Linked DNA regions of Oryza sativa Japonica Group. The protein of the gene in region 2 interacts with the protein of the main gene of each other region in a pairwise test. Links are inferred from orthologs where the notes say so. Each region holds a gene or a part of one and is shown on either strand. Other genes may lie near its edges.

Region 1 (3,929 bases), on a different chromosome or scaffold from region 2:
TAGAGCTGTGCCAAACAGACCCGCACGTTTGCTCATGGGCTGACTGCTTCTATGTCTGTTTGTGAGCTGAAGGAATGTTGAATGGACAAAACTGATCGGACAGTTATATATGAGATATAATCTCCGTTGTTATAATTTATAGAGTAAAATGCACCGATGGTATCACAACTTACGAGGTGGGTGCAATTTAGTCACTCATCTTGTAAATTGCTCAAACAAGTCACTCATCTTGCTTCGATAGTGCAAATGTTATCAAATACATTTTCACATCGATTGTTTGTTTTCAAATTGGAGTCCATATTAACCTAGCATCATGCATTTTTTACCAATGTAGACAGGATAAGCATTAAAATTACAAATTAACACTTATATTTTTATGTATATACTACTACCCCTACTTTCAATGAACACGGTCATATTGTGCTTGGCAATCAATAACAAAATTCATCATTAATTGAATTTTACTACCGGTAGTATTGCACGTTGGATTATTTATGAATCGTGTGACCATGTTTGCAAAATAAATTAATATAGCATATAACTTCATTGCGAACACTCCATACGACACATGTTTTATATGATTTACACCCCCAAAACAAGATGAGTGATTTGTTTGAGCATTTTACAATATGGGTGACTAAATTACACCCACCTTGCAAGTTATGGTAATAACGGCGCATTTCACTCTAATTTAAACCTACCGCGACCTGGCAGTATAGTTATTTATTTTTTTTCTCTTCAATTAACGTGTATGGTGATTTCGTTTTAGCTATATTTAGATAGATTTTTTTTTCCAAAAAGCATAACCCATGTTGTGACAATGGCCATATCATGTACGTTGCTTTCTTATGGTCTGGCAAAAATTCTGAAGCAATTAGGAGTCAGATTCTCGTCTCGAGTTAGCATGCATAAAAAGCGTGGTTGAATTTCAAAACCAAAATTCAGTTTGGTTTTGAAGTTTCTTATTGCCTAAGAGCAAGTTCAATAGTATAGCCTACTACTAGCTCCAATTTATTTATAGCCGATCTAATAGCCAATTCATACAATAGTTGCGTACTATATTATTAACATATGGTCCTACCTGTCATACACACATTACGTCTTGAAGTCCGTACTGCAGCTGGCTACATATTTGTAGCCCGCTGCTTTTCTCTCTCATCTTTTATCTCATGAAAATATGTTTATAGCTGGCTAATAGCCCGCTATTGTACATGCTCTAAAGACTCCTTTAAAACACATAAATTGAAAAAACACACGACTTAGTAACAAGGATTGTTAATTCTTATAGAAAGACAAAAGGAAATTTTAAAATAGGTGTTGTTGTATCGCAAGAAAAATTGTAAGAAAAAAATTGAAAACATGAGCTATGACAATTCGTTATTTTCATATAAAATCACTTTAGGATTGTTTATTCCATAGAAATTTCAAACAAAACAGTAGAATTCAATATTTTTCCTTTAATAAAGGGTTGTATGATAGGAGATTTTTCTCTATGATTACAATCCTTAAAATTTCTCGTACCAATCCTCCCATTCAAGAGGGCCTAAAATTTAACGGAATTACCCCAAACTTAGAGTAAATCTCGTGAAATCGGAGAAAATTATTCATCTCCTTCCTCCGACTTTCAACTCACATCGCTCCTCCCGTCCTCCCCTACCTGGAGGCTGCAGCTCCTGGCCTCCCGGGCAACTAGGGTTCGGCAAATCCCCCGCAAGGAGGGTGAAACCCTTCCCCAAAACTCCCCAATCCCCACCCGACCTTCTTCGAAATCGGAGGCAAAACCCTAATCGCAAACAGCTCGTCCTCGCGCGGCCGCCGCTCCGCAGCAATGGCGTCCCTCTTCAAGGTACGGATTCCCCCCCCCCCCCTCCGAAACCCTAGCTACCCGAGCTCGTCGATTCCCCCTCCTCTCGCCCTTCCTCTGAGGCGGCTCGCCCGATTCGCTTTTCCAGGACCCGACCAAGCTGTCCGCGTACCGGGACAGGCGGTTCACCGGGACGCAGGAGGAGTACGAGGCGGCGCTGCAGGCGTCGGTGACGGTGTACGTCGGGAACATGTCCTTCTACACCACGGAGGAGCAGGCCTATGAGCTCTTCTCCCGCGCCGGCGAGATCAGGAAGATCATCATGGGACTCGACAAGAACTCCAAGACCCCCTGCGGCTTCTGCTTCATACTGTACCCTCTCCTTTCCTTCCTCAATCCGTTTTTTTTTTAATACAAGAGATGTAGTTTGGTGCTATGTTCAAATTAAAGGTGCTGCTTCTGTTTTATTCTAGTATAAGCGGGTGTCCAAATGTAGTTTGGTGCCTTTTAAGATGTTTTTCTAGTTCTAGTTATGCATTGATTTAACAGTGAAGTATCAATGGTGGTTGTGACTTGTGACAGAGAAGCTAAGGGAGTTTTAGGAGTCTGATGTTGTGTTGGTACTGGCAGGAATGTGTGATTTTCCCTAGAATACGGGCAGCAAAGAATTCTATCTCAGTGCGAATATTTGGCTTGAGCAGTTAGATATTGCTATTGGTTAAGTGAGTAATTTTGTAGTAGTGAGCTCATATGTGGCTCCTTGGAGAGCTGGTTTTGGTCCGCTAGTATGGGCCAATATAGTGCACCAAGTTTCTTGTTTTTTACCCTTTGTTTGGTTACTTTTAATCTGATGTAGTGTTGATTAGTCCGCAATATGGTCCAGATGTGTCTTGGTTGTCGAGGGGGCATGGTTTAAGTTATATTTGGCCAACTGGTGATTTTTGAGAGTCTATTGGGATCTTTTTTATGTATTCAGGCTCTTGTTTTGGTGTTTTGTGTTCGAATTTGGGGTTTTGTATGCTGGTAGTTAGCCATACTTTGTACCTCTAATTCGAAATGTGGCATCATCTTGATCTCTGATCTGTTAAGGTTAGAGTATGTCTTTTTTGTTCATTCAAAAAATATATACCACAGTTCCTTTAACTGGTGTGCGTGTCTTGGATTCCTGGCAGCAAGGCACCCCTTGAATTATCAATCTTCTATTAACCTTACAGTTATGGAAGGGATTATTCTCTGATAGGCATATATTGCTTTATTGTCTTGTGCATCGGGCATGTTGTTAGTTTATATTGGATTTTGGAAGATGTAAAAATGACATTTATCTAGTTTGAGCCAACGGTGTATGTGCTGTTAGCCTACATATCGTTATAATACCTTCCTTCCTTTCAGGTACTACTCCAGGGAGGATGCTGAAGATGCGGTCAAATATATTAGTGGAACAATGCTTGATGATCGCCCAATTCGTGTTGATTTTGATTGGGGCTTTGAAGAAGGCAGACAATGGGGTCGTGGACGGAGTGGTGGACAAGTATTACCATGATCTTATTCTGCATGAATAACAAATGTATGACATTTGACCATATTTTTGATGATAGTTCATGTTTCTTTTTTCATAGGTAAGGGATGAGTACCGCACGGACTACGATCCTGATATCCTTTGGTACTATTGAATTACCATTTATTACATTTAGAGCGGGGTTATGCTGGTAACTCAGAAACCCATCCGTGTTAGTTCATACTGATGAAAATGTTACCTGTAGATCCATCCTAAATATGGCAATTCAACTATCTGCTGATTGTTTCTTAATAGCGCTCCTTTAAATTTTGTATGCCTTTACATGCTGCTATGTTTTTTCTGTTGAGTTGGCTACTTCCTTAATGAATCTTACGAAGAGGTGGCTATGGTAAGATGGTTCAGAAAGAGCTAGAAGCACAACGTGAGTTAGTTGACTATGGAGGTGCTTTTCAACCTAATGCACCACCTCAATGTAAGTGCTGAAAGTTTTGAGGACTGTACCTTAAGCCTTTAACTACATCCTTGTATAATTTTCATTTGTGTTAACCTTATTAACTGCAGTAATTGCTTTGTTAGAGATTTGCATGTGTGGCCTCTTGATATATTTTT
Region 2 (2,943 bases):
TTTGCCGCGTAAATATTTTACGCACTAATTATGTGCCCGATCAAATGAGTATAATCATTATCCGAAACATTCGTTTTGTTGCCCTTGTTTAACACACTAATTGGTGACTTCGGCACCCTAAAAAAACCGTCCATTTTTCGCTGGATGATTCATCTGTCATTTTTCAAATCAAGCGCCTTAATTTTCATCCACCTGATTAGTGAATAAATATTCCGTTGCATCCTAGGGATAAACAAGAAGTATAGTTCGGCTTCAGTTGGTAAACGTCCCATTCCAGTTGTAGTAGCTATGCTGTTTTGTTTGTGGCACAGAATCTTCCGTTTTACTCCGTAATGATTCTTTGCAATTGCATAGAAACAACAAATTAAAGACAGGAAAGCGTGAAGAGACCCCTCTTGGACCTAGCTCGTGATCCTTTTTCCGATCTACCCTAACCCAGAGATAAAATAGTCGCTAGTGTACAAAGCATAGCATTACCAAGATTTTCGTTATGGCAGCTCCAGACTCCATGGCAGGTAAAAAAACAGCTTTGACAGTGCATGCTCAGTAGAAGCTCAGAAGACGTTGCAAGGACCAGTGTTGCAAGCAAGTTCCATTGGAATTTGGACCAAGTAACAAACCCACCAATGCGACAGCTCAACATGTAAAGTAATGACGGCTTCAGATCAGCTTATCAATAAACACGGCGTTGTCCTAACACAGGCAGAGGGAATTAAGAAAGCTAGACCATAGCAATTACTCACCCAAGAAAATTAGTCCACTACAATTCAAATAAACCTAACTGATAATTTAATCACCTAAAGTCGTTACAGTGCTTTCCACCAAGGGTGTTCCTCGGGGCCAGGATTACAGGAGAATCGATGGAGTTCCTGAGTACACATCAGAGTACTTTTGGGCATGTCCAGTTAGTGAAGCATGATGAAAAATTTGTCGCGTATAATACAGGTAAACTCCAACTCACTGGAAGGGTCAAAATCAAAGGTGAGACCCTTCACTGGTAGGTCTGCACAAACCGGAGAAAGCAGCTTTCCGGATAAGAGGGTGAATATTCCCAACGAAAATCTCCTGATCCAACATGGCAATATGGGACCAGATCTGCAAAATATGTGTAATATCCAATTAGTAGAAGCTATGGAGGCCATGGAAAAGAAAACTACTTAAAACGTACTGCAGAAAAATCAGTCATTTACTAAGACCTTGAGTTCTTTTGTAATAATAAAACAATTTTAACATGCAGCCTGTGATATTTGGCTCTAGTACACCGTAGCCTGGATATTTCAAATGCTAACACATTAGGCTTCTCAACTTTCTCCTGACTGTAAGCTGTTTGGAACTTCTAGGCCATTTGTTTCTTTTCTTTCATGTTTGCCCTTGAAAAAAATAAATACTACTACACCTCTCACAAATAAATGACTATTCTTTTTTCCAGAACAGTGTAAATTAAGGGTAACAGAATCATTTGAGCTTTTTTCTTAACTACGGTGCACAAGTATAAAATGATTTACATTTGGAATCAAAGAGAGTATACAGAAATTGTCAGACAGATAGTTTAACTACACTGGAGAAATCCAGTTTGGCCTAATCATTTATAAAAAGGAATTTGATCTAACAGGTATCCATATTACAGCATGATAACTCTAACTCCCCACAGGTCCTCACCTCAGTAGCATATTGACGAGAAAACGACTTGAGATAGCCCAATGTGCAGAGACACCATTGCTCAAGCTCTCCAACATTGTGACTGATTTTCTTGTTTTGACCATTCAGCTGACTGCTAAAGCATGAAGACAAGTTAGCAGCCGAATAATGACAGCCAAGCCCCTAATGCAGGCACGAACATATTTATACTGAACAGTAAATATGGGTTCCTGGCACTTCAAGACATAGGTGAATACTGCAATTAAATCATGGTCAGCTGATATTAATCCATCCAAGAACCTGTTTGTCTTGACTGGTATCTAGCAATCTCTACTGAATTTTTTTTCTACATTTTAAGAGTAAATTACTCTTATAGATATATGCAGGACTAATACAAAATCCTAGTCTACTAGAGTTCATGCAAGCTTTCCACAAAAAGCTCGTTTCAGAATGAACCGCCCATGAAAAATAGTTGTCCATCCTGTAAAAGTAGTTATCCTAGTAATAGCATTGCAAACAAAATAATAAACTGACCTATCGTTATCTCCTCCATTTTCATTGTCTATTTCCATGGTTGTTGCTTCAGGGTCACGGGCTGAAGAATTTACATTCGGGTCTCCAGCACGTAAATTAGGAACATCTCCATCAGCAGAAATAGGTGGCAAACGTTCAGTTAGCACTTCAACAAAGCTCTTGAATAGTAACCTAAGCAATTCCTGCAAAACCACATGAAGAAAGGATGCTCAACTCTATTATTATGGGGCAAAGTACCAAGCAACAGTACAAAATTAAGGTGATAATAAAAGCAACGGAGCACCTTGCTTTCTTCAAGCCCTCGAGCAAGGAGGGCCTCCTTTGCTTCTAAAGATTCTTCAGTGGTTACTTCTCCTTCTTTCGCTTTGTCAGCACGCGCTTGAAGTCGTCTTAGCCTTCCTGGATTTTCAGATGGCACAGGTTGGCCATCTACAATCTCAATAATAGATTTAGCCTCCTCCAACTCTCTGGCGGCCTTTTCACTGGCCTCTTTAGCAGCTTGAAGACCTTTCCTGAGTGTCTGAATTTCTTTCCGGAGGTCAAAAATCCGATTGTATGTTTTACTAACAGCATTTCTAAGAATCTGCATAAGGGAATGTAGATCAGAAAGATTTAATTAAAATATTGAGCTATATTATAATACAGAAAATTAATGAAGGATTGTCTTGGCAGTTCTAGATGGCTTGAGTATTTCACCATTCAATAAAAGTAACTAAACATGCATGCACAAAGCACTGAAAGCAGAAAGCTCCTACAGTGCGCCATCACTCA

Evidence for each region.
Region 1: the proteins of nuclear cap-binding protein subunit 1 (region 2) and nuclear cap-binding protein subunit 2 interact in binary tests that used the Arabidopsis thaliana proteins (3 or more experiments, as listed by UniProt). The link is inferred for Oryza sativa Japonica Group from reciprocal best matches to the Arabidopsis thaliana genes ABH1 and CBP20.

Annotation. Positions count from the first base shown.
Region 1 is NC_089036.1:24,583,926-24,587,854, reverse strand, and holds the start of nuclear cap-binding protein subunit 2, read left to right. Parts: upstream 1-1,641; 5' UTR 1,642-1,828; coding exon 1,829-1,846; intron 1,847-1,952; coding exon 1,953-2,176; intron 2,177-3,193; coding exon 3,194-3,332; intron 3,333-3,420; coding exon 3,421-3,454; intron 3,455-3,693; coding exon 3,694-3,792; intron 3,793-3,929.
Region 2 is NC_089037.1:13,041,630-13,044,572, reverse strand, and holds the end of nuclear cap-binding protein subunit 1, read right to left. Parts: intron 2,756-2,943; coding exon 2,456-2,755; intron 2,355-2,455; coding exon 2,173-2,354; intron 1,772-2,172; coding exon 1,660-1,771; intron 1,096-1,659; coding exon 976-1,095; 3' UTR 580-975; downstream 1-579. UniProt on the Arabidopsis thaliana protein: Component of the cap-binding complex (CBC), which binds cotranscriptionally to the 5'-cap of pre-mRNAs and is involved in various processes such as pre-mRNA splicing and RNA-mediated gene silencing (RNAi) by microRNAs (miRNAs).